7 linked regions of the Macaca fascicularis genome follow. The protein of the gene in region 5 binds, or shares a complex with, the protein of the main gene of each other region. Links are inferred from orthologs where the notes say so. Each region holds a gene or a part of one and is shown on either strand. Other genes may lie near its edges.

Region 1 (4,297 bases), on a different chromosome or scaffold from region 5:
AGTAGATTGGTCATTTCAAAGTTACTTGTCTTGTAAAGGTTAAAGAAGAAAGGACTTCCGTATCATGCCGGCTAAAACTGGCCTGTTTGGGGTTTTGGCTGTTCCTTCTCTCTCCTGATTCCTCTGAAGGTTTGATAAACAACTTAGTGTTGCTTAGTGACATGGAACTTTAGCATGAGTGACTCCATTTTGGTTTGGTCTGTTGGGCCTAGCACAGGAGCTCAGTGCAAACCAATAGCCTCCTATATAATTGAACCCTTGTGCATCGCTGGTGGGAATATAAAATCGCTGCAGCTACCATGGAAAATCATATGGCGATTCCTCAGAACATTAAACAGAATTACCATAGGATCCAGCAATTCTATCTGTGGGTGTATATCCAAAATAATTGAAAGCAGAGACTCGAACAGATATCTGTACACTCACATTCAAAGCAGCAACATTCACAACAGCCAAAGGGTGGAAGCAACCCAAATGTCCATGGAGGGATGAATGGTTATGCAAAATGTGGTACATCTATACAACGTAATATTATTCAGTTGTAAAACGGAAGGAAATTCTGACACATGCTACAAAATGGAAGGATCTTGAAGATATTAAGTGAAAGCAGCCAGACCCAAAAAGACAAATACTGTATAATTCTACTCATATCAGGTGCCTAGAGTAGTCAAGGGGAAGTTACTGTTTAATCGCTATAGAGTTTCAGTTTGGGAAGATGAGAAAGTTCTAGAAAAGAATGGTGGTGACGGTTACAGAGCAATGTGAGTGTACTTGATGCCACAGAACTGTATGCAGTAATTACAAATGGTTACAGTGGTAAATTTTGGCCAGGAGTGGTGGCTCATGCCTGTAATTCCAGCATTTTGGGAGGCCGAGGTAGGAGGATTGATTGAGGTCAGGAGTTCAAGACCATCCTGGGCAACACGGTGAGATCCTCATCTTTATAAAAATACATTTTAAAAATTTAAAAATTACCTGGGCGTGGTAGCACACGCCTGTAGTCCCAGCTACTCGGGAGGCTGAAGTGGGAGGATCACTTAAGCCAGAAGTTCGAGGCTACAGTGAGCTATGATCTTACCACTGCACTCCAGCCTGGGCGACAGAGCGAGACACTTCTAAAAAATAAAAAATGAAAAGGTAACATACATGTGTATGTATTGTAACACCATTGAAACATAGAAATTTAAACGAAGAAAAGCTGGCTTCTAGCCCTTGGACCTAGCAAAGCTGGCAGAGTCCTCACCTACCAATATAGGTAGGTGACTCCTTACACGTGGACAAGCACGTCCACCTGGTCGCTTCGCCCCTACCCTCCCCTCCCTTCCCCTTCCCGCGTCTCCCCTCCCTTCCCCTTCCCGCGTCTCCCCTCCCCTCCCCTCCGCTCCCCTCCCCTCCCCCACACATCCATGTTCCGACCCTGCCACCCCTAACAAGTCTCACTGCGCAGGCGCGGAGCGGTGGGCAGGAGCAGGCGTGGCCTGACTGTGCGCTTGTGCCGAATTCCAGCTGCGACTGCTGAGGAAGAAAATGATGCCCAGGTTGGGCTCCACGGCCCACCGGCCGAGGAGAGGCCTGCGCTGCACACGCGCAGACCGAGCATCCGCGTCAAGAGGCGAAGAGAGCGCGCGCTCCCCACGTCCTGCGCGCCTGGCTGCCAGGCATTCGTCTCAGCCGTGACTCTCGCCAGGCCGGGGCTGGGGCGCCCACGTCTGAAGAGCGATGCCCCGGGAGATCATCACCCTGCAGCTGGGCCAGTGCGGCAACCAGAGTGAGCAAGCGAGCGCCGCCCCCACCGGTCTCTGGTTCTGCCCCTTTGGGTCCCACCCAAGTGCCTGGCTTCCACCAGTCCCCCTTCCCCTTCCATGAACCCCCTAGCCTGCTGCTCTGGATAACCCAGACCGAGAGCTGCGCTCCCAGCCCGGGACTGGGGCAGCCACCAGACCCAGGCATCTTGGGTCCACCCTCTGATCGTGTCGGCCTCTGAGACTAAAACTGGGCTCCTCAGGCCTTAAGGCTCCAGCAGACCCGGGCATCTCCCCCCTCCCCCAGTTGGGTTCGAGTTCTGGAAACAGCTGTGCGCTGAGCATGGTATCAGCCCCGAGGGCATCGTGGAGGAGTTCGCCACCGAAGGCACTGACCGCAAGGACGTCTTTTTCTACCAGGTGCCCCCAGCGACTTGGCCAAGGGCGGCAATGGCCCGAGGGGCCAGAAGGGAAGGGAGTGGCCTGGTACTGGGAACCCTGCTGGGCAGTGGGGCCAGGCGGCTGGCTTGAGGAGGGAGGGCTGGAGGGAGCCAGAGTTGGGAGGACTTAGGACTTGGGCCACCCTAGCTGATTGGGCCCCCTCCTGGACTCCCCTTGACAGGCAGACGATGAGCACTACATCCCCCGGGCCGTGCTGCTGGACCTGGAGCCCCGGGTGATCCACTCCATCCTCAACTCCCCCTATGCCAAGCTCTACAACCCAGAGAACATCTACCTGTCGGAGCATGGAGGAGGAGCTGGCAACAACTGGGCCAGTGGATTCTCCCAGGTGTCCGGGCGACTATTCCAGAGACCTTTGATAGTCCCATCCAGAGGCAAGGGAGGCTCAAGCTACTAGGAATTTGACCAGACTGCCAGAAAATAAGAGACAAAAGGATTCCCCAAACAAGAGGGACAGCCAGGGAGAGGTTTATGCAAATTTTGTGCAAATCATTTGCAATAGTAGCACTTCTGGGTTGAGGGCTACAGCCTAGGCTTTGCTTCAGGGTGGCAACAGTATTCCAGGGTAGACAGTGCTGTACTGAGAAAAGATGCGCTCTGGAACCTTTGGCCTGACCCTCCCTTTCCATGTCTCTATACAGGGTGAGAAAATTCATGAAGACATCTTTGATATCATAGACCGAGAAGCAGATGGAAGTGACAGTTTAGAGGTGAAGTTATGGAGTGGGGGAAGGAATGGGCAGGGAGGCTGAAGAGTGCTGGGGAAACGTCAGGAGGTGGCCTGGATAGGTGATGTGAGGGGAGCAATTCAATTCAAAACCCATTTATGGAGCATCAGATGTGGGATATTGAGGTGAATAAAATATAATCTTTGTTCTTAAGGAAGTCATAAATCTGAATGGCACTGGCCCCTTAGGCATGAGTCACTCAGCTTCTCCAGCTCCAAACCTTCCCAAGGAGCCTCAGCCTGGATGCGTAAGAGGAAGCTTTGAGACATGGGCGTTTTGGGAATGGGGAATGAGCCATGCCGAAGTCTTCCCCCAGATCCTTGGAGACTGCCTCTCCGTCTCTCCCCATGCTGGGCGCGATGTGTTCCTGGCTTACAACTCTTATAACCCATGTAATTTCCTAAGGGACTAGAGCAATAAGAGTATGTTTTGTTACAATATTTGACCTTTCGTCCTTGGTTTCTGAAACAGCTCCAGAACAGCTCCAGAGTGATAAAGGTGAAAGACAGTCTTTTGTTATTTATAACAAGCCCCTTTCTTTTAGATTAATCTTTCATTTTATTTTAATTAGTTAATTTTACTAACCGCTGTACTAAGGAGGAACAAGTGCATTTCAACCAAACCTGAGCTTATGTTAAAGAGGCGATTTTTTGGAAAGTCCCAGATAGCCACTGGATGGGGTGTTGGTTGCCAGGGGAACAAACCTGGTGCTCTGAGGGTTGGAATTTACAGGCCCATCCCTCACCTCTGGGGAAGGGAGAGGGATGAAGATTGAGTAGAGCACCAATTGTCAATGATTTAATCAGTCATGCCTGTGTAATGAAGCCTCCATAAAAATCCAAAAGGACTGAGTTCGGGGGCTTCCAGGAAGGTGAACAAGAACACATCCACAGGCCGGGAGGCTGCAAACCCAGCACCACAGGGCAGCAGCTCCTGTGCGCCGGAACCTTCCAGAGCTTCCCCTCGGTATCTCTTCATCTGGCTGTTTATTTGTATCCTTTAAAATATCCTTTATAACAAACGGGTAAACGTAAGTGGGTGTCTCCTTGAGTTCTGCGAGCTACTCTAACAAATTAATTGAACCCAAGGAGCAGTCCTGAGAACCCCAATTTATAGCCGGTTGGTCAGAGGCACAGATAAAACAACCTGAAGCTTGTATTGGCATTGGAAGTGGGAGAGTCTTGTGGGACTGAGCCTTCACTCTGTGGGATCCGATGCTATCTTTAGGTACGGATACTTCTCAACTTACAGTGGGTTTATCAGGACATCACAAATTGAAAATATTGACTAGGCACAGTGGCTCATGCCTGTAATCCCAGCACTTTGGGAGGCTGAAGCGGGTGGATCACCTGAGCCCAGGACCTG
Region 2 (3,500 bases), on a different chromosome or scaffold from region 5:
AATAGTCCCCTAAACCAAAGATACTAACATTGAATATGAAAAAAGAGTAAAGAGGTGTGAGAGATGTTTAGAAGGTGGAATCGATAGGCCTAGTGAGTGCTTGGAAATGAGTCAAGAGGGAAGAGTCATTGATGATACCCAGGTTTCTGCCTTCAGCAACTGGGCAAGTAGTCATGATAGGGGTGTATACTGCTGGTATGCGGGGAAGAAGATGGGTCTAATGGCGGGCATGTTGAGTTTGAGGAACTTGTGGGAAATGTTCAGTGGGCTGAACCTGGGGCTCATGAGAGCACTCCAGCTTGCTCCAAATCTACCTATGGAATCATCAGCATGGAGCTTGGAGATTTTTAATCTGGGGCCCTTGGGTGGCTTCAGAAGGTTCATGAAATGTGATATTTCTGTACATTTGTCTGGAAGGTCCATAGCTTTTATGATTGCAGAGAAGTCTGTGACCTAAAAATTAGAACTATCTGTTCCACTGATCAGTCACAGAAGATGATGTGATTGTATAAGAAGTGTAGGCTGAGAGGAAAAGACAGTCTGGGACAGTGCCCTGAGGAGGACCAGCAGAGCAGACAGAGAGAGAAGACCTGGAAAACAAAAAAGACCACCTCTTTCATTATATAAGTAAGGAAGCTGGTCAACTGTGCAAGTGTTTACTCAGTAGTAAAGGCAGAGTGAAGGCCCAAGTCGCAGTATTTAAAAAGCCACTCTTACTTCCACCATGCCACTCTGCTGCCTGAAGATGAAATACGTCTCTCCAAAACGGGTGGTTCGAGAACTGTGCAACACCAGATTTGAAGTCCCTGCATCTTTACTTTAAATCATGGGTTGGGAGAGTTACTAGATATTTTCTTGTTTTCCTTTTCTTGCTTCGTACTTCATCTTGATGTGTACTCTTTCCTTGACTAGCGCCTGATTGAGGAAGAGAACATGCTGGCACCATCTCTGAAGCAGTTTTCCCTACGAGTGGAGATTTTGCCATCCTACATTCCAGTGAGGGTTGCTGAAAAAATCCTATTTGTTGGAGAATCTGTCCAGATGTTTGAGAATCAAAATGTGAACCTGACTAGAAAAGGTAGAAATCTCCTTGTCCAATGTACCGCACCCTCAAAAGCTCTTCTTCCTTAACACTGTGTGGCCCCCCAGCATGCCTGGTCAGAGCTGAGTGGTCGATAATATTCCTATCCTGAGATTGTAGCAGAATCATGACATTTGTCTGAGAAGCAGGTGAAGTTGCTGCCCCACCGAGATCAGCCCTCCCTAGAAAACCCTGACTGTCCTGGGTATTCTCTGTCCTCCTTTGATGGTGCCTTCCTATTTTGCAGGATCCATTTTGAAAAACCAGGAAGACACTTTTGCTGCAGAGCTGCACCGTCTCAAGCAGCAGCCGCTCTTCAGCTTGGTGGACTTTGAACAGGTGGTGGATCGCATTCGCAGCACTGTGGCTGAGGTTTGTGTTTCGTCATATATGTGTGTGTATATATATAATATATATATATATTTTTCTTTTTTTAGAAAAAAATTAGACTAGTTCCCTAGAAATTGAGTTACTTGGTCAGGCACGGTGGCTCATGCCTGTAGTCTCAACACTTTGGGAGGCCAAGGCAAGTGGATCACCTGAGGTCAGGAGTTCAAGACCAGCCTGGCCAACATGGTGAAACCCCGTCTCTACTAAAAATACAAAAATTAGTCGGGTGTGGTGGCAGGCGCCTGTAATCCCAGCTACTTAGGAGGCTGAGGCAGGAGAATCGCTTGAACCTGGGAGGCAGAGGTTGCTGTCAGCTGAGATCACGCCATTGCACTCCAGCCTGTGCAACAGAGCAAGACTCTGTCTCAAAAAAAAAAAAAAAAAAAAAGAAAGAAAGAAATTGAGTTACTTGACTTTTGTTTTTTTCTTGATGTGGTAAGAACTGAGCTTGGAAAGAGCTGTTGCAGAGAGTTGAAGGCAGGAAGCAGAAAAAGAAAAGCCTCAGTTTTCATTAACAGAGGCAGAACTGCCTTCCCATTTTCCTATCTAACTAAAAAACAGGTGGTTTTTAGTTGGTTAGTTAGTTGAATAAAGGGGAGGTCTTGGTTTAAATTTTGAAAATCGCATTTTGGATCTGTCTCTATCGTTTGCAATAACTCCTAGGAATCAACTAATTCTGACTAAATTTAGTGTCTTTCTTGTAGTTTAGTATGGCTTATAACTTGTACTTTCATTTAAATACACAATCATGAGGAAAGCAGAACAAATATCATTTTCTCATTCTTATAAATGGAGCAAACACTCAGCACACTGACTTGTCTGGCTTGTCTGGTGTGGCACAGTGAGTTGCCATAGTGAAGTCAGTGCCAGGCCTCCAACTCCTGGAGCGCAGTCTTCCTCATTTTGAATTGTGCTGCTGCCACCGACTTAAATTGTGACCAGTAAGTTTTCAAAGGAGCATATATGTTCTGTGGCTTATATTAACATTTGTCTCATGGATGTGTGATAACATGAAATGAGACATTTAGTCAACTGCGTTGTTAACTATATTCATGGGTTTCAACATTGGCTAAGCATAGGATCGCATGAGAAAATTTTAGTTTTTATTTTTATTTTTTTTATGGAGTCTTGTTCTGTTGCCCAGGCTGGAGTGCAATGGCGTGATCTCGGCTCACTGAAACCTCCACCTCCCAGGTTCAAGCAATTCTCCTGCCTTAGCCCCCCAAGTAGCTGAGATTACAGGCACATATCACCACGCCCTACTAATTTTTGTATTTTTAGTAGAGATGGGGTTTCACCATGTTGGCCAGGCTGGTCTGAAACTTGTGAGCTCAAGTGATCCTCCCACCTCAGCCTCCCAAAGTTCTGGGATTACAGGCATGAGCCACCACGCCTGGCCCGCGTGAGGAAATTTTAAAACCTGCACTTGCACCAAGTCCTTACTTCCAGACCTTCTGATTCGTAGGTCAGTAGAGGGTCAGTACTTTTGTTTTGTTTTGTTTTCGAGACAGGGTCTTGCTTTGTCGCCCAGGCTGGAGTGCAGTGGAGTGATCATGGCTCACTACAACCTCCGCCTCCCAGGTTGAAGCAATTCATGTGCCTCAGCCTCCTGAGTAGCTGGGACTGCAGGCCTGCACCAGCATGCTTGGCAAACTTTTTTGTATTTTAATAGAGATGGGGGTTTCGCCATGTTGGCCAGGCTAGTCTTGAACTTTTGGGCTCGAGCGATCCTTCTGCCTTGGCCTCCTAAAGTGCTGAGACTACAGGTGTGAGCTACCACGCCCAGTAGGAACTTCTATTTAAGCAAGCCAGTCCATCCACCAAAGACAAACCTCTACAGGGGATTCTGAAAATAGAACTAAAAAGCAGTGCACTTCGCTCAGTGTCTGGAACTGCTAAGAGCATCAACTCTCCATGGGTTGGAAGCATAATAATCTATTATAAATATGGTTTCCCTTTCTAGTCACTGTCTCAAAAACTCCTGGTCATCACAGATAGAACTGTGTTGTAGACACAGAATGTTCAGTCT
Region 3 (4,122 bases), on a different chromosome or scaffold from region 5:
CTGGGCGACAGAGTGAGACTCCGTCTCAAAAAAATTAAAAAATTAAAAAAAAAAATTCAACAAAATTCAACATCCTCTCATGAGAAAAATCCTGAACAAACTGTCCATAGAAAGAACATTACTTCAACACAATAAATGTCTTATAAAATAAACTCACAGCTAGTATTACACTAAATGGGAAAAAAACTGAAAGCCTTTTCTCTGATCTGGAACAAAACAAGGATACTCATTTTCACCACTTATTCAACATAGTACTCAAAGTTTTAACCAGAGCAATTGGACCACAGAAAGAAACAAAAAGCATGCATATTAGAAAGAAAGTCAAACTGTCGTTGTTTGTAGATGATGTGACTTTATATTTAAACAAACCCAAAGATTCGTCCAAAAAACTGTTAGCACTCATAAATGAATTCAGTAAAGTTCCAGGACACCGCCGGGTGCGGTGGCTCATGCCTGTAATCCCAACACTTTGGGAGGCTGAGGTGGATGGATCACTTGAGGTCAGGAGTTGAGACCAGCCTGGCCAACATGGCGAAACCCCGTCCCTACTAAAAAATTCAAAAATTAGCCTGGCGTGGTGGCACACGCCATTTGTGGTTATGAAGTCCCCCAGAACCTCTGGCCAGGTGTGGTTGTGAAGTCCTCCCAGCACCTCTGGCCAGGTGTGGTTGTGATGTCCCCCAAGCAGCTCTGGCCAAGTGGGGTTATGAAGTCCCCATTCCCAGTACCTTCGGCCAGGTGGGGTTATGAAGTCCCCCCAACCGCCCCTGAGGAGCAGGCGGAGTAAAAGCGAGCCGGGACTGCTAGCCGGTCGGGACCGCTGCTTCGCTGATGCTGGTTGTGTAGCACGGATGTGCGTAGCGTGATTGTGTTGTGTGGATGGGGGCACTGAGATCCGCGGGGACCATCACTGCAAGGAGAAGCTGCATGGCCGGGAGAGTTCAGCAGCTGAGCGGGTCAGGGTTCCTGGAAAGGCAGGTCCCAACGCATTTCCCGACCGGGCACCTAACGGGCTGCTCTCAAAAGCACTGACTATCACCGAGGCTGGCCAGAGACCCTTAAGTATCTAATTCACGATGACACCAACTAACTCTGAGTACAGTAGAAAATGCACAGTCGGGCGACCAGAATATGCACACTCGAGCCGCCACCATGGGACTGCTCCAGGCAGTACCCACCACAGCAGGAGCTCGAACTGTCGCGAGAATAACTGCCAGCTTGCTAGTTGCCCGGCACGGGAAGGCGAACTCTCGCGAGAAGGCCGCCAGCTTCGGGGGCAACTGCCGCGGGACCTCGAACTCTCGCGCGACAGCAACCAATTCGTTAGAAGCGCGTTGCAGGCGCGCGAAACATGGCGCGGCACGGGCCGCCGTTGAGCTGGCTGGACGCGCAGCAGGAGCGCGACGTGCGGGAGCTCGTCCGGGGTGTCGCCGGCCTCCCGGACGAAGCAGACCCCAACTTCCAGCTCGCCCTAAACTTCGCCTGGTCCAACTTCAGGTGTGGGGCGCGGCGCGCGAGCGGGTCCCGGGACACAGCCCGGAGCCCGCGCGTGGGTCCGGCGCAGCCCGGGGTCGGGGTGCGCTGGGGCGGGGCATGGGGCTGAGGCGGACGCGGTCTCAGAGAGCCCTCGCAGGCCCTGCCGCCGCCCACTCCCCCCGGCCAGCGCCCTCGGCGCGGTGCTCTGCGCACCCCACGGTGTGTTACCTGGAACGCGTCCTGATCGTCACGGGGGGAAGCGCGGAACTGGGTTTCTTGCCACCGGGGCGCGCTCCTGCAACCCAGCGCTCTGGGAGGCCGCAGGCGGGACTCGAGGCCAGCCTGGGCAACGTAGCAACTCCATCTCTATAATTTTTTATTTTATTTTATTTTATTTTAATTAAAGAGATTGTATTCTCACTGACTCCTGCTCCCTGGTCAGCCCAGTGTAAGGTCTCTCTCACCCTGCTCTCCTTTTTACAAAACGCGTGTCATGACATTGATTTTACCTGTTATGACTGTCTCCTCCGCTTCCACTCCAACTAGAATGCTGCATCTCTGCACAGCGCCTGACAACGTAGCAGGCTTAGTCAGCTAATGCAATTTCTAATGCAGTTTCTCTTGTAACTAGTTTTTAAAGACTTACAGAATTTAGATGTATACGTGGAGTGAGATCTATTTTTCTTTATGGGAGAGGGAAATTAAACAATACTTTTATAGTCATTACCCATAATGAAATTACTAAGAGAATGTTAATGTTAATATTCTACCTGTTTAATTTCAGTAAAAATCTTGAATAATGAACAGTTTTTTAAAATCCGTAATTTTAGTTACTTTAATGATCATAGTCATAAAGTGTCTAGTTGGCTTATAATAGGAATACGGGGCTTTCATATTCTTTTAAAGCATGCCGAGTTTCCGAAGTAATAAACTGAATTCTTAAATGTGACTTACAAAAATAAACAATGTGTGAAATAGGTTATACAACACAAAAACTTAAATGCTGAAATTCAAGTTTTTTTTACTAATATTTCTAAATGACAGTAGGCAGATGGTCATCATTTTAGAGGTGGGAGAGACATTAGAGGTTACTGTTTCCATTCACAGGTTTCAGGAACTAAATTATAATAGGTAAAGTGGTGTACCATTCACCCATTTACTGGACTAGATTCATGTGTTTCTCAGTATTGTAATTTTTTTCTTTTAAGTACAGATTGCTGGCTTTGATACTAAAAAATGGGAAACAATTTTTGCATAGGCTATGTTATATACATATACATTAGTTGCATAGGCTATGCTATAATTTTATGATGCTTTAAACCATCAGAAAAATGAATAGTTCATGTTTACATTGTTGAAAATTGTGGCCATTGGCCGGGCGCGGTGGCTCAAGCCTGTAATCCCAGCACTTTGGGAGGCCGAGACGGGCGGATCACGAGGTCAGGAGATCGAGACCATCCTGGCTAACACGGTGAAACCCCGTCTCTACTACAAAATACAAAAAAACTAGCCGGGCGAGGTGGCGGGCGCCTGTAGTCCCAGCTACTCGGGAGGCTGAGGCAGGAGAATGGCGTGAACCCGGGAGGCGGAGCTTGCAGTGAGCCGAGATCGCGCCACTGCACTCCAGCCTGGGCGACAGAGCGAGACTCCGTCTCAAAAAAAAAAAAAAAAAAAAAAAAAAAATTGTGGCCATTTAGAATTCTAGGCCCTAGAAATTCAAAGATGAGTAAGATATAGCCTCTGTCTTTAAAAAAAGACAGAGATAAAAGGGATTTTAACCTTGGGATCTGGAGATATAATTCAGATATTTGTTAATTTGGATGAGGAAAAAATTATACTAATCTCTAACTGAAAAGTAGCATCTCCTTCCATTATAAATGAAGGCAGCAAACCATAGTAGTATTAGCCTACCTGTGACTTTATCGCCAGTAGAATTCACATACTGTTTTCACATCAGAGTTGTAGATATTTGTAAATGTTGTTTACTGTTACTTTAATGGTAGTTATTGTACCTACTGCTAAATCTTGTTATTTAATACTTTCATAAATAACATTTCTTGCCATATCATAAACTTCTTGAAATATTTGACAACTGTACCCCAGTATAATTGGATTCCTTTGTATTTCGTTTTTGGCATTTAAAAACATTATTCAGAGAAGGGATCCTTAGGCTTCAGTGGGCCTCACTATAGCATAAAAAGATTGGGACCACCTGATGTAGAATGTGTTCAGCTGGATTTAGATACAGGGTCTTATGGGAAGACAGAGGAGCCAGAGCCAAGGTTGGGAGGGTCAGGAAGCACCTGTGTGCTGGAGAACGGTTGCTTGCACAGTCTCGGACATGGTGATTATTTGCCTGTCTTGGTGGAGGTAACTGAAGACAAGGTACACTCCATTCTGGAAGTGTGTAGCTGAGTACAGAGCATATGGGGGATGTGGAGGGCCATGAGATGAGTTCACTTACCTGTGTGACAGAGTTGGCATAAGAATTGCATTTTGTCTTTATTAGATTTCATCGTTTCTTGGATGTGAACAGCCACAAAATAGAAAAAACAATAGAAGGGTAAGTCAGTGTATGTATGTACACATCCTAAAATACATGTATTTTCTTATAGATCTTTTTAAGATAGCTTTATAATCATTGTT
Region 4 (3,977 bases), on a different chromosome or scaffold from region 5:
TCCTGTAATCCCAGCTACTCGGGGACTGAGGCAGGAGACTGACTTGAATCCAGGAGGCAGAGGTTGCAGTGAGCCAAGATCAGGCCACTGCACTCCAGCCTAGGTGACAGAGCAAGACTCCGTCTCTAATAAATAAATAAATAATTCAGAGAGGACCCTGCCAGGATTTGAGAGCCCACTTTTAATTTAGACACAATTCTAAATGGGAAGACAGTAGGATACAGAATTTTGCTGAAAAGAAGCTTTTCAATCTCTTAGAAGGGGCAAAACTTTTATATCAAAGAATCTTCAATGTTTAAAAAAAAAAAAAAAAAAAAAACGTTTTTGGCCGGGCACGGTGGTGGCTCACGCCTGTAATCCCAGCACTTTGGGAGGCCGAGGCAGGACGATCACGAGGTCAGGAGACCGAGACCATTCTGGCTAACACGGCGAAACCCCATCTCTACTAAAAATACAAAAAATTAACCGGGCGTAGTAGTGGGCGCCTGTAGTCCCAGCTACTCTGGAGGATGAGGCACGAGAACTGCGTGAACCCGGGAGGCGGAGCTGGCAGTGAGCCGAGATAGCGCCATTGCACGGTAGCTTGAGCGACAGAATGAGACTCTGTCTCAAAAGTCTTTAAGTTGAGAAATACCATTTTAGCTCACGATGAATGACTTTCAAAATCCAATTATGACAATGGGAATGTATGAATGTGTGGTTTATCCCTAGAACAAAAAACTCTGGAACCACTGGTACAAGGGAAACACTGACATTAAGTTGGATAAGTCCTATCAATCTTAGTTTTATCTGATTCCCCCTATGACGAGGAACATGAAACATGAGAAAGGAAACTCAGTGTGCTAATGACAAAAACAAAGGAGGACAGGCCATGCTCATAACTCAAGGCCTTTTCGTTGGTTCTCTCTACTCAGAACCTTCCCCAGATGTTCAAACGGCCCTCCCTTACTCCATTCAGGTCTCTGTAAATATTTCAGAGGCTTTCCCTCACCTGTCTCTTCTATTTCTTTCTTTTTTTTTTTTTTTTTGAGGCGGAGTCTCGCTGTCGCCCAAGCTGGAGTGCAGTGGCGCAATCTCAGCTCACTGCACGCCCCACCTCCAGGGTTCGCACCGTTCTCCTGCCTCAGCCTCCCGAGTAGCTGGGACTACAGGCGCCCGCCACCACGCCCGGCTAATTTTTTGTATTTTTAGTAGAGACTGGGTTTCACTGTGTTAGCCAGGATGGTCTCCATCTCCTGACCTCGTGATCTGCCTCTCTCTATTCCTTTACCGTACTTTTTCACCACAGTACTTATTGCTAATTAACATGGCTGGTTTATCATCTGTCTCTTCCACTAGAGTGTCAGATCTGTGGGAGGAATGACTTGTGCATCTGCATCACCAGCACTTAGCATAGTTCCTGGGAGGAACTTTGAGGACGGGGTTGTTCTCAAAGATTTCTTAGATAAATAAAGAGATAAAATGAAACTTTACAAAATGTAGCAAGAATTGTGTGAAGTCACTCATTTAATAGTAACACAAAATAATTCATGATTGCCCAAAGATTATCATAGAACATCCAATGAATTACACGCAGTAATTGTCATGAAGCATAAAAAGTCAAAATGCATTCCCAGTACTTTAAATGTAACTTTGAAGTCTTCCTTCAAAAACTGAATAACTTCTTTTCCACATTTTGGTCCTTAAGACGTAACACACTTGCTTCCATTACTCAGAAAACTCCCTCACGGTGCATACTCACTCTCTCCCCCACCAACCTGGCCAAAACACGGAGCAAGAAATGGCATCCTGTACCATTTCTTTCAAAGTACCTCGGCTACAAAATGGTTTTGCCTACTGTATAGGATTAGTTTAGCTTATTAGTAACAATATTCGCCATGTGAACTTTCCCAGAATAGTTTTATATCAAATCCAACCCTCAACCCTTTAAACAGTAGAAAATATGGCAGATAATCGTTAACACCCCATTCCCATAATGCTCAAGCCTGTTAAACTTTCCTAATGAAAAGGGACGATGATGTGACTCTCCAGCACCCCGCACGCTCCTCCGCTGCGCAGCCGCTCTCTCCACCCCACACAGCATGAACCCAAAGGCACGCAGAGGCGCCCTCCCCTGGCGTGTGACACCAGAGAACCGGGATAAATTGGCGAGCTGGCATTCCTCCCATCCTCACTGACGGACCCGCGCGCGGAGTGAGCGGTGACTCAGCCCGCTCCGGCCCGGGCTCCGCCCTCCCGCCTCCCGGCCCCGCGCTCTGGCCCCGGCCTCGGGCTCTCCACTCCCTCCGTCCCGGTCCCGGCCCCCAGCCCTCCGCTCTCCTCCCTGGCTCCCTGACCCCCGAGCCCCAACCCTCCGCTCTCCTCCCCGGCTCCCTAACCCCGGAACCCAGCCCTCCGCTCCCTCGTCCGGGCCCCACGTCCTCGGCCCGTCCCCAGCCCTCTGCCCCGGCCCTGCATCCTCGTTCCTCCAGCCCCGGGACGTATTAGGGCTGCACGCGCAGGGAGTGGCCCCCGGGGTGGGTCTGCAGGCCCCGCGTCGCCCGGCCCCTCTACCTTCGCTCCTGCCCAGGATCCTGCAGCACAGGTTCTGCAGCAGAACGTTCGGCGACTTCTGGTCCGGGGTCGCCATCCTTGCCCGGGACTGTGCGCGGGGGTCTGGGCAGAGCCGCCACCGCCGCCGCAAGCGCAGGGACTGCGGCCCGCGCCCTCCCTGCGCCCCTCAAGCTCCCGGCTCCCGACAGGCTAAGGCGCGGGCGCCGCCGGCCACCAGGGCGCCATTTTAACGGAACCCGCCGAAAGCGCGGGCGCTTCCCACAATGCCCCGCTTCTTCCCTGCGCCGCGACCGCGCGTGCGGCTGCCTAAGCGTTCCCGGCCCTGCCCTGAGTATTCCCCCGGCTGCTGCCCGTCCGGCCGGGAAAGTTCCGGGCGACAGGTGGCCCGAGGCCCTCGAGCTTCGCGGACAGAGCGGCCCTGGAGTCGCGAGCGTCACGGGCTTCCTTGGAGAGCACTTGGTGGCCGGTAGCACCTTAAAGGCCATAATTTGGTGTGTTTATATGGGGGCGTGTGTGTTAACGGTATTGGTTTGATTCACGCTTCTGATGAAAGAAGCCTGTTTAAAGGGTGCAGGGGGTTATGCGGTGTGGCAAGTCACCTGCTACTCTCCAGCAGGCGCCCTGCTCAGGCCCGACCTCACACCGCCGCGCAGGCCGCTCCCCCAGGTCCGGGTGACTGGGACGTCCTGGGAAAATAAATCAATCACGTACGGAGTGAGAGAACAGGAGAAGACCTGCCGAGAAAAAGATCGATAAGCGGACAATTACACCAAGCCATCTTCAGTGCAATCGTTAAAGCTTACACATGGGTGCACGCTTGGGAGCCGTGAGCTACCATGTTAAAAGGCCAACTTCCTGAAGGAAAAATGATGGAAAGAGATCCCGAGATCCCATGAAATGGAAGAGGGAGGACAATCCAGCTATCCCAACATCCCAGCTGAGGCCAGCCACACATGTGACTGTCTGCAAAGCCCGTCGGGCCTGGGTCCAGCTCTGGTTGCAGAATTGTTAGCAAGTAAAACATTTGTTGGCGTTCTGACTCAAAAACATGGAGACAAAGCAGACTTGTAGGATATTACAGTCAACAACTAGACCCTGCAGCTAAAGGACTGCCTCCTTGCATGAAGCAACAACCATCACAGCTCTGCAAGAGCAACCAGAGCACCAAGGATGCCATCACCCCTCACTGCTTTCGATCCACATTCTGTGGAAGCGCTTCTAAACCTGCACCACACTCAACACGATCAGTTAGTAACTGGCTTCTTATGAAGTTATTCTCTCAGCCCCATACTACAGTGTCCAGATGTCATCTACATTCTGCCAGCCTCTCCCCCACCTTCAGCTGAAACGCTGCATGACTGCATCATCTTATCTGACCAGCTGTCTCCTAGGACAGACATACAAGAAACCCCCCTCACTAACGC
Region 5 (3,500 bases):
TTTGAGACAGGATCACCCAGGCTGGAGTGCAGTGGTTCAAACATGACTCACTGCAGCCTCAACCTCCTGTGCTCAAATTGATCCTCCTGCTGCAGCCTCCTGAGTAGCTGGGACCAGCAGGCCTGCACCACCACACCCAGCTAATTTTAAATTTTTTTTGTTTTTTTTTTTTTTGAGACGGAGTCTTGCTCTGTTGCCCAGGCTGGAGTGCAGTGGCGCCATCTCAGCTCGCTGCAACCTCCACCTCCCACATTCAATGATTCTTCTGCCTCAGCCTCCTGAGTAGCTGGGACTACAGGTGTGCAGCACCACGCCCAGCTAACTTTTTGTATTTTTAGTAGAGACAGGGTTTCATCATGTTGGCCAGGATGGTCTTGATCTCCTGACCTCGTGATGCGCCGGCCTGGGCCTCCCAAAGTGCGGGAATTAGAGGCAAGAGCCACCACACCCAGCCTAGAGATGTCTGTGTGTTTTTTGTTTTTTTTTTTGAGACGGAGTCTCACTCTGTCGCCTAGGCTGGAGTGCAGTGGCACAATCTCAGCTCACTGCAACCTCTGCCTCCCACATTCAACGATTCTCTTGCCTCAGCCTCCTGAGTAGCTGGGAGTACAGGTGCACACCACCATGCCCGGCTAATTTTTGTGTTTTTAGTAGAGACGGGGCTTTGCCATGTTGGCCAGGCTTATCACGAACTCCTGACCTGAAGTGATGCACCCGCCTCGGCCTCCTGAAGTGCTGGGATTACAGGCGTAAGCCACCATGCCTGGCCTAACTTAAAATTTTTGTAGAGATGGGGGTCTCGCTATGTTGCCCAGGCTGGTCTCAGACTCCTGGGCTCAAGTGATCCTCCTGCCTCAGCCTCCCAAAGTGCTGGGATTATATGTGTGAGCCACTGTGCTTGGCCTAACAGCTCTTTTTAAAATATCTCTTTAGGATATACACAGTGCTGTTGTGATTTAGTATCTTGTTTCCTTGTAATGTGGGATATCTCTTTTCCTTTCTAACGTGCGTATTTGCAGCTGTAACCTCCCTCCTGGCTTCTGCTGCACCCCGTTCGTTTCGGTTGTCATGAGCCCTCTACTGGGGGTCTCCACTCTCTGGTTACAAACACATTGCGGGGAATGTGCTGTGGCAAGTCTTTGTGCATCTTCCATCGTTTCCGCTCTTTCATCCCGAAGAGTTGAATGAGCGGGTCTCACGGCAAACATGTTTTATAGCTTCTGCCCTAGGAGGCTGTCTGTGTACTTGTGTCCTGTGGAAGGTGTTCTGTTGTTTCCTACCCTTTTCTACACTTGGCATTTTAAACATGTATTTTTCAGTGTGGTGAGAATTTGTGCCTTGTTTTGGTTTGTACGTTTTTGTCCCTCAGTGTAGGAGTTCTGGGTGCGCCTTCTGGGCGTTTGCTTTTGGGTCCTGGGGGCACTCTAGGTGGTGTGGGGTTGGGTGCAAGGGTGGAAGGAGATGGCACCTTCCTGGGGGTCTGGGTGCCTGGCCTCTGAGCAGTGTCCTCTACCCCTGTGCAGCCGGCCCAGGCCTTTGTGGTGAAGCGGGGTGTCCACGTGTCGGGAGCGTCTCCCGAGAGCATCAGCAGCCTGCTCTCGGAGGTGGCCGAGTATGGGACCTGCTACACGCGCCTGAGTCACTTCTCTCTGCAGCCGGTCCTGGACTCTTCGTACAGCAAGGGCCTCGTGTTCCAGGTACGGCCTCTGCCTCGTGGCTGTCACACATCCTTGTGAGAACGGTGCACACGACCTGGAAAAGAGAATCTCAGAAGTCCTTCTGCAGGACCAGACAGTCTAAACCTTTTCTTTCCTTGCTAACATCTGAAACCCAATAGTGGCTTGTGAGGGATGGGTCAGTGAAGATGTTTTACCTCACTGGAAACCTGGGGCAGATGCGTGTGGGCCCTGGGGTGTGTGGGAGGCAGGTGCAGCCAGCATTCGGGGCATGCGAGGCAGGAAAGGCGTTAGTGGGGCTCTTGCCGCCTGCTCCCCAGTGGGCCCGGCACATTGCGGATGACTGACGCTGCCTGGCCCTCGTGTTGGGTGAATTTACATTGCTGGGCGTTCTGAGCCAAGTCTGGCTCCGGAAGCCGCTCTTTGGTGAGTCTTGAAGCTGGCTCATATGCTGAGTAGAGACCCATGGGACAGAGGCTGCACCTTGACTGGGAGAGAATAGGCAGGCGGATGATCAGTAATTTGGGGGCTGAGAGGAGGGTGTTCGGAAGGTGGGCAGAGAGCACTGGAGGAGCCAGGTGGCGCAGCCTCCTTCAACTGTTGCTGCCACAGCAGGGGCTGTAGGGTGGGGTGATGTGGTGAGGTTTAGGTTTTAGACGGGCTGCGGAGGTGGACATGGTGGGAGCTGCATGGGACGGGGAGAGCTTCTAGGCAGAGGCTCAGCCCTGGGGGACTTGAGGGCTGCAGATGGTGGAGAAGGGGGCAGAGCAGGGACACTGAGAAGGGCTGGACTGTGGTTCCCACTCATCTGGCAGGCGTGGCCAGGCGGGTTCTGGGGTGGGTGGACTGAGATTGGTCCAGGGTGCGCCTGTCTTGGTGTGACCTGCAGGGCCTGCTGCTGTGGCATTGCCCAGGATGCTGGTGCCACTGAGACCACTGTGGTCCGAGCAGACGCAGCTCTCACAGCACTAGTGTCTGTGCACAGAGCGCAGCCGCCATTTCCCCCCTCACCCCTCAACCCCTATGCCACGCCCCTGGGGCAGCTGGTCTCAGATGAGAGGAAGGGTTGGTGGGGGGGCCACAGCTTCTGGCTTCTTGTGGACGGGCCACATTTCCACCTGGTCCAGTGGTGGGACGTGGCTCACAGAGGCCCATTGCTTGGAAATGGAGCCCAGAGCTGAGGCAGGAAACAAAGCGCTGTGCCCAGTACTGGTGCCCCTCAGGCCCTGGTCACAGCTGCGTCCATGTGCTTGGCCACCCTCCTCCCAGCCTCTTTGCCCACAGGCCTTCACCAGTGGCCTGAGGAGGTACCTGCAGTATTACCGGGCCTGCGTCCTTTCCACTTCGCCCACCCTGAGCCTCCTCACCATTGGTTTTCTCTTCAAGAAACTGGGCCGGCAGCTCAGGTGAGCCTCAGCATGGCGACTGAGCAGGGGACTTTGCAGGAGTGGCATGGAGCTTGCTGGGTGATGGAGGGTTTGCTCTGCTTCCTGGCAAGGAGGGCCTTTGAGAACAGCCCTCAGCAGGTGACTGGATGGCCCTTGGCTGGCCGAGTTCACCAGGTGCCAGGCAGAGTGGGTGTGTCTCCCATGGGCCTACCACAGCTGGCCCCATCCAGGCCCTCCAGGCCTGGTGGCTCCTGCCTAATTGGCACACAGGGTCCCTAGGGATGTGGCTTCTGGTACACACAAGCTGGTTACTGAGCAACCAGGCTGGGGAGCTACTGGCAAGTGCTGTCAGACGAGGAAGAGTGAGGAGTTGGGCGTTGGGAGCAGTGGGAGAGGCGACCTTCCAGGCAGAGGAGCAGAATGTGGCAGCCCTGAG
Region 6 (4,119 bases), on a different chromosome or scaffold from region 5:
CTGGAGTTTCTGGTGTTATTTGCATTTTAGATTCCTTGACATCTCCCATAGCACAGAGAGAAAACTAAAGAGAAATCAAGAGTACATATGTTAAAATTACAAAGTCCCATAGATATTAATTTTACCTATTAAAATGTATTCGACAAATGTGTCACAAAAACAACTCAAAACCTAACACTCTTGGGGCTATGATACAGCTTATGAAAAAAGTATCACATATAAATGTTCTCAACTGATCCTCGAAATAACCTTGAAAGCTATAGCAGTAAGTTATTAGTGATATTATTCTGTGAAAGAATTAACAAGCTCAGAGACGTGAAGTGGCTTATACGCAGCAATCAAATATGAATTCAGATCTAAAGGTTACAACAGGCACAAATCTCTTCTCAACTAAAGGACTTATAGCTACAATTTTTTTAAAATTCATCATCTCACGTCTCAACACTATGAACATTCTTCGGATACCCCATCCAACTACAGTTGCTATTAAACAATTCTTTGTAGCAAGCAGGTAAGAGATGCAGAAGCTTGTGCCTTTCTTACACATGAGTCCTAGCCAGAGAAGTATGATTGACAGGGGCTAGGAAATTAACTGCCTTGAGTCCCCTTTCCTCCAAAAATCCTCCTTTCGCCAAGACCTCCCCCTCAGCCCTCCCAGGATAGAAAGCGACTCTGCATTATTTCCAATCAAAGGAGGCTACAACTTGGCGGGGTGGGGTGGAGAAGAGTCTACTTCTGTAAGGTTGAGATGCAGCCGGCTTCCTCGGACGGAGCGCCGAGGAGGCGTCGCCCCCCACCCTACGTGGCCACTCTTTCTGGTGCCCCTGTCTTCCACACCTACTCCCTGACTGCTCCCATTCACCAGGGTCCAGCGGGCAGGCAAGTCAGGAGCTGGGAAAAGAAACCTCTCCATTCAGACAGGAGGAAAGGTCAGGGACCATAAAAAACCTACCTACCGGTGCGTAGAAAACGAAGCCCCCAATACCGACTACAGGGAGCTCCCGGGGGCCAAGCCAGCTTCCACGTCAGGCACAGACTCTTTAACTCCCCGCTTCCGCGCTGTCTTGGGCCAACCAGGGCACGGGGCTTGTGAGCGACTGGCCAATCGCGTCGTCCCGCCATCCGCGAACCAACCAATTGCACGGAGGCCGCGTAGAAAATTCGAATAGCAACTCCTCGCTCCACGTTCCGCGCAGAGGAACGAGGCTCCAAATTCAAATCAACGCAGCCTCACGCCGGCGGCGAGCGCGAGGGGCGGAGCCTGCCCGGCGTGAGCGGAGACGCGCCGTGTGATTGCCCGGGAGAGAGGAAGGCGCTCCAGTTCCGGGTCAGGCCCTTCTCACGCCTCCCTCGGCCTTAGCCATGGCGAGTAGCAGCGGCGCTGGGGGGGCGGCGGCGGCCGCGGGGGCGAATCTGAATGCGGTGCGGGAGACCATGGACGGTGAGTGTCAGTTGCGCTCCTTTTACCTTGCCTGCCTTCCCAGAGCCAAGGCCCCCAGGCGGAGCTGAGCCTGGGGAGGACTTCAGGTCCCCTTCGTGCCCCAAACGGCATCTTCGAAGATCTTTGGAAGGGACCTGCCAGGGCCGCAGGACTGATGGCCCTATCCCTTGAGAGTTGTCTCCGCCGCTGCGTAGTTTGTCGCGCGCGCCAGACGTTGCGGCCCCCTAGTCAGCCGGTTGCGCACCGCGTCCTTCTCGCGCGAATGCCGCGCCCCTTCTATCCCGCGTCCCAGGTCCGCCCTACCCGCCCGATCTCCTGCGGTGACAGCGCCACGCCCACCCCACCCAGTACACCCGTTCCCTCCTGCGCGCCGCGTCCCACCGGATTCCCGCGCAGGGCGCTTCGGGGGTCCCCAAGGTTGGGATCCTGGCGGGGACAGGGGCCAGGTGTTTGGTCACCGCTATGCCTCGTGTTCTTCGCACTTAAGTAGGCGGCCTTTAATATCCTGCGAATGATTAAGTTCCCCCCTTCGTCAGAATTATCCTAGTTTCCTCTTGAAGCGGGTGACGCCAGTGCCCAAGTGCTATGGGTGTCGCCTGTTTTCGGCCCTGGAGCCTACACAAGCTCTGGAGCCTACACAAGCCCTGGAGCCTACACAAGCGTTGCAGAACACGAAATTAGTGTCTTGCCGGTTACCTTCTCTCTACTCTCTAATGCCACTTTATAACCCTGTGGTGAGCTTGGACTAGATACTTAAACATTGAGCCTGTTTGTTTAAAATAAAATCCTGCCTCCGAGAGTTGTGAATATTTAAATAAGACAACCATGTAAAAATATATCAAAGATGATCAATTATTTTTATATTATTTCCGATGTCATCTCTCTTGTAGTCTCCTTTGTCTCCTTTTTACTCACATCCACCTGTATTATGAGTGTTTGATCGATGTTAAATGTCATTTGCAGTGGGCCTAGACGTTTTCCAGAGGCTACTTAAGTCAGCTTCCCTCTCTGTTAAAAGATAACCCTATGAAATTCTCACTCCTGTATCTCTTTCTCCTTCACTGTAGGCTTTTTTTTTTTTTTTTTTTTTTTTTTGAGATGGAGTCATGCTGTGGTTGCCCAGGCTGGAGTGCAGTGGCGCAACCTCAGCTCACTGCAACCTCCGCCTCCTGTGTTCAGGCAACTCTTCCCAGCCTCAGCCTCCGGAGTAGCTGGGATTACAGGTGTCCGCTACCACACCCGGCTAATTTTTTTTTATTTTTAGTAGAGACGGAGTTTCACCATGTTGGCCAGGTTGGTCTCGAACTCTTGACTTCAGGTGATCCACCCACCTGGGCTCCCAAAGTGCTAGGATTACAGGTGTGAGCCACCACCCCCGGCCTCATTTTCTTACATAGCCCCTGCAGAAGGGCTGCTGGCTTTTTCTGCACTGGCTGCTCGTTCCTTTTCAAAGAATTACATTTTTAGAGACTTTGCATCTAATTTTTCACTTGTTCAGTATCTACCTTGCTGTTTTTCTGAGAATGTTAATATTCAGCCTATTTTTCTATCCTTTTCGATGTATCAACACTTACTAGTTTTATTTTGTAAGTGAATTTATGCATGTGTATGTGTGTGTGTGTGTCTGTGTGTATAAAAATTTACTATCTTGTATGTTTCCTTGGAAAAAGGTAGAGTATAAGACCTCACTTCTAGCCTGTTTTCTTATGTTAGCTGTACTTAGGTTCCTTATGTATATGGTCGTAGGATCCTATTTGAATAGAAAACTCATATTTTCTCTCGGTGGAACCACTGATGTACAATTGAGAACTGATGATTTGTGTTGGCTACATCATCAAGATCTTTTCTGAGAAAACCTGGTGTAAAATGAAGATTATAGAGAGAATAAGAACATGAAAAAGTGAAGTAAAACAAAAAATGAAGGAGAGGGGATGTGGTGTTTCACAGTATTTAAATCAACCCGTGAGATCAAAAGTGAAATTTTCAAAACTTTGAGTACCATTTCTCCCCTCAATGGCAGGATTTGTGAACCCCCCTTTAAGTCATATGAATTGCAGAACTCTTGGCTACATTTGCGTTTTGATCATGAAATGGAAGGATTTTGTTAAAGACATGGGAGGCAGCAGGCTGACTTTGTATTAATCAGTTATCTGTGTAGCTCACTCTGAAAAGAACTATCCCTGCCTATTTAGAATACGGTCTGCATGAGATCTTTGCTTTCATCCTTATATCCTTAAAATTCTGCATTCTCTTAAAATAGTCGTGCCTTTTCAACAACACCCCCCGCCCAACCCACTGGGTATGGTTGCCTCCTTTGCTTTTCAGTTTTTTGATATGTTAGGTATTCTCTGTTGATTGCTTTATACTTTAATTTTTGTTTTCCTCTCAAATCATCCTATGCATCTGAATTTTAATTTTGATAGTTATTCCTTACGAGAGTCTTTATCATAACACTTACTTTTTTTTTTGAGACTGAGTCTGGCTGGAGTGTAGTGGCGTGATCTTGGCTTACTGCAACCTCTGCCTCCCAGGTTCAAGCTGGGGATAGGACCCAATTCTCCTGCCTCAGTCTCTGGAGTAACTGGGATTATAGGCGCCCGCCACCATGCCTGGCTAATTTTTGTATTTTTAGTAGACACAGGGTTTCACCATGTTGGCCAGGCTGATCTCGAACTCCT
Region 7 (4,120 bases), on a different chromosome or scaffold from region 5:
GATTGGTCTTGATATATTTTTCAGGCTTCTGCATTCTGGCAAACCTCCTGATGCCACCCAGATACATGACTCATACCAAGAAACTGACTCTACTAGTCCTATGACTCTCACCTAGACAACTGACTCAGCACAGGAAGACAGTTTGGAAACACCTATAAATTCATCCCCAACCAATCAGCAGCACCCACTCCCTACCCACCTGCCCACAAAATTATCCCTAAAAACCACAACCTCCAAGCTGTCAGAGAGGTGGATTTTAGAAATATCTCCTATCCTGCCACTCAGCTGCCTTGCCTCCATTAAACTCTTTCTCTGCTGCAACTCCTGCATTCTCGATGTTTGGCCTTTCTGGGAAGCGGGCAAGAAGAACACGTTGGCCTGTAACAGGAGAATAAATAAGAGTTTGGCAAGCAACAAGAGGGTGCAGGTATTCTGTGCAGAAGGAATTGCAAGTGCAAAGTAGAAAGAGGAGGCATACTACCAGTTTGAAGTTGCTTGGTATGTTCAATGAAAAGCAAGTAGCTAAAAGGCAAGATAATTTTTTATAAAAAAAAAAAAAAAAAAGGTATGGAAAAGGAAAGGCAAAAGCTAGACAGAGAAGTGCTTGTTCATGGAGGAATTTGTGTGCCACTCTAGACATTTTACTGTAGGAAATGGGGATTCTAGAGTTTTAAGGAGGTGAGTAAATCAACAGGCTGGGTTTTTAAAAATTCCTTCTTGTGGCAGAGAAAATAATGGATTGGAGAATTTCCAGACCAGACTGTAAAAGTCACTATTAAAATAATCAAGAAATGAGGAGATGACAAACTAAAATTTGATCTAGTGACCAACTGAATATGGGAGAAATAGGAAAGGGAGGAATGTAGGATAACTCTGATTTCTAGTTTAGGTTACAATATAGTAGTAGCAGTATTTAACTTGGTGAAAATAGGAGAAACCAGGAGGAAAGATAGCAAGTTCAGTTTTGGTCATATTAAGTTTGAGGGACCTTTGAGACAGATGTGTCCGGGAAGCAACTGAGTTAGGCATTAGTAGATCTGAGAGAAAAATTGAAATTTAGAAGCAAAATCAAAGGTGTTAATAGAATCCATGTGAGTGGACAAAATCACCCAAGGAAAATGTCTAGACTAAGAAATGAAAGTAATTAAGGAGTGAATTCCAAAGAATGACATTCAAAAACCAGGCACAGCCAGTAAAAGGAATTAATGACTATGAACCTCAGTTGTCACAAACAGACTAAGCGATATAAATTTTGAGAAGTAATTACTGTATTTGGCATTTAAAAGGCCTTTAGAAACTTAAGCAAGAACAACTTTCTTGAAGGCATTAAAGAAGCCAGACAAAAGACTTTTGTCTGTTTGATATAAGTAAAAATAATATCCTTTCAATAAGTTTACTGATAGATAGGAGGACTGGGAAATAACTGGATAAACACAGGATGGATGACATGGTTTTGCTTTATTTAATTTTCATAAGATGTGTGACTTGAGCACTGAGTAGAAGGAACTGAAGAGGAAGAGGCTGAAAGCACAGGAAAGAAAAAAGACAACTGGAAGCGAAATGTAACAGATGGAAGCAAATGAGATCAAAAGCAAAGATGGATGGATTATCCTTTAATATCCCTTTCTCTACACTAGAAATACAAGACTAAAGGCTTGGCAAAAATATAGATCAGTGTGTAGGTTGGGGGCATGAGGTTGAAGAATTGTTATACTCCATCATGTTTAGAAAGGAGAAATGAGAAGGGCAAAAGACAGGGTTTATAAATGGAAGGTTTGAAAATGTCTTTACAGAAAATGGGGCAGGGGAAAACTGGGGTAACCAAAAGGATTGCTGAGTAGTATGAAGAAACAAGGGGTGATGGGTGGGGGCTCTGTTTCTAAATTCGTAGCTATAACTATCTAAAGATCTTTCTATCTTCCAGTCCATTATCCATAAGTGCTTAAAAGACACGATAGTTAAGTGAATTAACTAGAACCCTGGTACTCTCAAACATGTGGGTGAATTAAAATCACCTACAGGTTTATTTAAAATGCAAATACCAAGCCCCATTCCTTTCATTCAGAATTTCCAGGGGTGAAGTCCAAACAGTGAATTGCAGAAGCTCTCCAAGCAATCCCAGGAGAAATTTCTGTTTAAAAAAAAAAAAAAAGAAAGAAAAAAAGAAGAAGAAGAAGAAAGAAAAGAAAAGCAAGCACAGACCTAGAAGGTAAGCAACTGGACAGACGAGAGCTGATCCAACATACATCTGTTAATGGCCCTCGTGGGGGCGTGGGGCAGTGCTCTGCCACTCAGAAAAGCAAAAGGACTCCAAGATCTAGGGAGATTCAGATCAGTGTTGAGACAGTCACATACACACCACCCCACACTCTTAATAAAGCGCGTTAATGTGAATCTGTGAGCATGAAAAATGCCACGATGAACAATGAAAACACATAATGTTGTTCAAAACAGGTGATTAGACTCGATGCCTTACCCTGAATTTTCTGTTTCATTACTCTAGAGACTTAGTAGCATCAGTGGAATTCAGGGTGCTGTAAGAAATACGGAGAGCGAGTAAACTGCAGTAACAGCCCATGGGAAGGGGGAAAGAGATAATGAGGAGAAGGTCGGGAGGACAGGACAACTTTAAGTGCCCATCCGCCCGAAGACTTGGAACGCTAAGTAGCTAGGACCCACAGCCGTTATTCTGACATCCCCTGGCACTCACCATTGTCTCAGGATCTCAGCACTAGAAAATAGGTATCGTTGAGACAGGAAGACACCACCACCAACACCATCATCCGGTTACTCAGGCAACAGAGCACCGCCCACTGTCGCACGGTGCGTGGGACGCCACCGCCCCACCTCTTCGTCCTTAGTGGCTGGGAGTAATCTCAGCTGCGTTCATCCAATCGACAGGCCCGCCCCTCCACGCTGTCGCCTGGGGCTACGAGACGCCGTTTTTCTGTTTCCGGCAGTTTTACTTCCGTTTGTTTAACAGCTGGCCCGGAAGTTTAAGTGAATCTGAGGCTTGGGCTCCAAAAGTTGCTGTACAGTATTTTATTTTAAAGTAGACATCTGTCCGCTTTCCACTTACGGAGGCCTTACAGTGTGTGTTCTGTGTTACTTGAGTTTAAACGCACTGCAGAATGTATTTACCCTTCTCTTTTGGAAACGTATTCCGGAAGCGAAACCCTGAGTAATCGGAAGTGGTTAGGAGTGAGAGAGCTCCTGGATATGTGGAGGGCCTGGGCGGGCCGGCTTCTGAATGGAAGAGGTCTGTGAGAAGTTAGCCTGGTGATACCGATCCGAAGAGCCTATGAAGTGAAGTCCCCTGAAATACGGAGAATAAGAATCTTACAGGTAAATCCGAGGACAAGCAGGTATAACTAAGGATGTTGGAAAGGGACGGAGGTCTGGCTGGAGCTTGGTGGCCAGTAGCTTTGGATTTAGGGAACGATTGTTGTTCCGGGAAGGCTTTTTCAGACAGGAATGGAACTTCGGTTTCGACTTCCCGGGACAGCAAAGGTTGACAGACTTGTCGCTTCCCGGCCTATCGCTCTCATACCTGCTCACTCCCCCTACTTACTTCTTCACCCCCTCACCTTCATTTGGCATTTGCCAGCACGCACTCGGTGTGCCTGTATGTTTCGCAGAGCAACTATCAAGGGCAGTTTCAGGGATCGTTACTCTTACGAAGGGTTTTTTGGATACCTCTTTTCGGAGCAATAGACTGTAGTGTAGAAAAGTTTGTGACTGTTAAGAAAGTTAGTCGTCGGGTTCACTAATTGAACTGAGTTGTATCTAGTACTGAGAGCGATCTTTTTTTGTAGTGACACCAGTTGTCATCTAGTGTACAGTTTGTCATATTTATATCATTGCAGTAGCATCACCTTTTTATATGTTTTCTAGTAAATCTGAGTCTGTACTGTAGGCAGTGTGTACATTTCTGAAAGCATGTGCTCAATATATGTTTCTCTTTTTACTTTTGGAGCTACACTATTTTAACTTTATTACCAAAAAAATATGAATTATGTTATCTTGAGTAATATTTTTTCTCGTTCGTTACACATCTAAACAGAAGCTCCTTTTTGATGTGTGTGTGTGTCTGTGTGTGCATACGAATTGTGTCAGTATG

Evidence for each region.
Region 1: TUBGCP6 (region 5) and tubulin gamma-2 chain share a complex: the UniProt entries of both Homo sapiens proteins name them as parts of the gamma-tubulin ring complex. The link is inferred for Macaca fascicularis from reciprocal best matches to the Homo sapiens genes TUBGCP6 and TUBG2.
Region 2: the proteins of TUBGCP6 (region 5) and TUBGCP4 are in contact, whole or in part, in a cryo-EM structure (PDB 7QJE), measured with the Homo sapiens proteins. The link is inferred for Macaca fascicularis from reciprocal best matches to the Homo sapiens genes TUBGCP6 and TUBGCP4. Residues at the interface, in NP_065194.3 of Homo sapiens: Leu312, Thr313, Ala315, Gly316, Arg317, Ala319, Phe320, Phe323, Leu326, His327, Glu349, Pro390, Glu391, Ser392, Ser395, Leu396, Glu399, Tyr403, Ser455, Leu456, Leu457, Thr458, Gly460, Phe461, Lys464, Lys465, Arg468, Arg471, Tyr472, Glu475; in NP_001273343.1 of Homo sapiens: Met1, Ile2, His3, Glu4, Leu6, Leu7, Ser10, Gly11, Tyr12, Pro13, Gly14, Ser15, Ile16, Gln29, Phe31, Pro32, Phe33, Leu34, His35, Pro36, Glu38, Thr56, Ile59, Glu60, Thr63, Val66, Gln67, Gln68, Ile84, Arg87.
Region 3: the proteins of TUBGCP6 (region 5) and TUBGCP5 are in contact, whole or in part, in a cryo-EM structure (PDB 7QJE), measured with the Homo sapiens proteins. The link is inferred for Macaca fascicularis from reciprocal best matches to the Homo sapiens genes TUBGCP6 and TUBGCP5. Residues at the interface, in NP_065194.3 of Homo sapiens: Glu290, Ala291, Ser292, Lys293, Arg294, Arg295, Cys296, Trp297, Glu298, Arg299, Val300, Gly301, Cys302, Pro303, Pro304, His306, Arg307, Glu308, Glu309, Pro310, Tyr311, Leu312, Glu314, Lys322, Arg325, Leu326; in NP_443135.3 of Homo sapiens: Asp211, Asp212, Arg213, Trp215, Leu216, His219, Val220, Val221, His222, Trp225, Ser230, Phe232, Pro233, His234, Leu238, His239, Ser240, Asn241, Leu242, Leu264, Val265, Thr266, Glu267, Thr268, Gln269, Arg272, Val302, Thr303, His304, Leu305.
Region 4: the proteins of TUBGCP6 (region 5) and TUBGCP3 are in contact, whole or in part, in a cryo-EM structure (PDB 6X0U), measured with the Homo sapiens proteins. The link is inferred for Macaca fascicularis from reciprocal best matches to the Homo sapiens genes TUBGCP6 and TUBGCP3. Residues at the interface, in NP_065194.3 of Homo sapiens: Pro65, Arg67, Asn68, Leu71, Met72, Ser74, Phe75, Asp76, Arg78, Asp87, Glu90, Asp151; in NP_006313.1 of Homo sapiens: Pro9, Asn10, Val11, Leu13, Gln14, Glu25, Ala26, Ala29, Gln30, Phe32, Gln33, Val36, Arg37, Ile39, Gly40, Ser41, Phe43, Thr129.
Region 6: the proteins of TUBGCP6 (region 5) and MZT1 are in contact, whole or in part, in a crystal structure (PDB 6M33), measured with the Homo sapiens proteins. The link is inferred for Macaca fascicularis from reciprocal best matches to the Homo sapiens genes TUBGCP6 and MZT1. Residues at the interface, in NP_065194.3 of Homo sapiens: Met1, Ala2, Ile4, Leu7, Phe8, Asp10, Leu11, Cys12, Ala14, Leu15, Pro17, Ala33, Leu37, Val40, Ala41, Ala44, Leu45, Asn48, Ile70, Leu73, Lys85, Arg88, Leu89, Leu92, Val93, Glu95, Leu96, Leu104, Leu105, Ser109; in NP_001065243.1 of Homo sapiens: Asn17, Ala20, Val21, Thr24, Val27, Leu28, Glu30, Ile31, Ser32, Ile34, Leu35, Asn36, Thr37, Leu39, Glu42, Thr43, Leu44, Ile46, Cys47, Arg49, Leu50, Cys51, Glu52, Gln53, Ile55, Asn56, Pro57, Glu58, Ala59, Leu60.
Region 7: TUBGCP6 (region 5) and NME7 share a complex: the UniProt entries of both Homo sapiens proteins name them as parts of the gamma-tubulin ring complex. The link is inferred for Macaca fascicularis from reciprocal best matches to the Homo sapiens genes TUBGCP6 and NME7.

What each region holds. Positions count from the first base shown.
Region 1 is NC_088390.1:63,716,598-63,720,894, forward strand, and holds the start of tubulin gamma-2 chain, read left to right. Parts: upstream 1-1,497; 5' UTR 1,498-1,719; coding exon 1,720-1,768; intron 1,769-2,049; coding exon 2,050-2,162; intron 2,163-2,364; coding exon 2,365-2,532; intron 2,533-2,845; coding exon 2,846-2,914; intron 2,915-3,403; coding exon 3,404-3,430; intron 3,431-3,777; exon of another isoform or gene 3,778-4,159; intron 4,160-4,297. UniProt on the Homo sapiens protein: Tubulin is the major constituent of microtubules, protein filaments consisting of alpha- and beta-tubulin heterodimers. Gamma-tubulin is a key component of the gamma-tubulin ring complex (gTuRC) which mediates microtubule nucleation.
Region 2 is NC_088381.1:19,972,732-19,976,231, forward strand, and holds part of TUBGCP4 (gamma-tubulin complex component 4), read left to right. Parts: intron 1-912; coding exon 913-1,078; intron 1,079-1,328; coding exon 1,329-1,453; intron 1,454-3,500. UniProt on the Homo sapiens protein: Component of the gamma-tubulin ring complex (gTuRC) which mediates microtubule nucleation.
Region 3 is NC_088381.1:447,444-451,565, forward strand, and holds the start of TUBGCP5 (gamma-tubulin complex component 5), read left to right. Parts: upstream 1-1,322; 5' UTR 1,323-1,351; coding exon 1,352-1,497; intron 1,498-3,985; coding exon 3,986-4,039; intron 4,040-4,122. UniProt on the Homo sapiens protein: Component of the gamma-tubulin ring complex (gTuRC) which mediates microtubule nucleation.
Region 4 is NC_088391.1:103,021,299-103,025,275, forward strand, and holds the start of TUBGCP3 (gamma-tubulin complex component 3), read right to left. Parts: upstream 2,801-3,977; 5' UTR 2,630-2,800; coding exon 2,554-2,629; intron 1-2,553. UniProt on the Homo sapiens protein: Component of the gamma-tubulin ring complex (gTuRC) which mediates microtubule nucleation.
Region 5 is NC_088384.1:1,327,137-1,330,636, forward strand, and holds part of TUBGCP6 (gamma-tubulin complex component 6), read left to right. Parts: intron 1-997; exon of another isoform or gene 998-1,523; coding exon 1,524-1,697; exon of another isoform or gene 1,698-1,752; intron 1,753-1,873; exon of another isoform or gene 1,874-2,960; coding exon 2,961-3,082; intron 3,083-3,500. UniProt on the Homo sapiens protein: Component of the gamma-tubulin ring complex (gTuRC) which mediates microtubule nucleation.
Region 6 is NC_088391.1:63,681,607-63,685,725, reverse strand, and holds the start of MZT1 (mitotic-spindle organizing protein 1), read left to right. Parts: upstream 1-1,319; 5' UTR 1,320-1,362; coding exon 1,363-1,441; intron 1,442-4,119. Other genes in the region: BORA (protein aurora borealis), read right to left, coding at 1-49. UniProt on the Homo sapiens protein: Required for the recruitment and the assembly of the gamma-tubulin ring complex (gTuRC) at the centrosome.
Region 7 is NC_088375.1:26,996,340-27,000,459, forward strand, and holds the start of NME7 (nucleoside diphosphate kinase homolog 7), read right to left. Parts: upstream 2,801-4,120; 5' UTR 2,714-2,800; coding exon 2,711-2,713; intron 2,535-2,710; exon of another isoform or gene 2,477-2,534; intron 1-2,476. UniProt on the Homo sapiens protein: Possesses an intrinsic kinase activity. Displays 3'-5' exonuclease activity with a preference for single-stranded DNA. Does not seem to have nucleoside diphosphate kinase activity.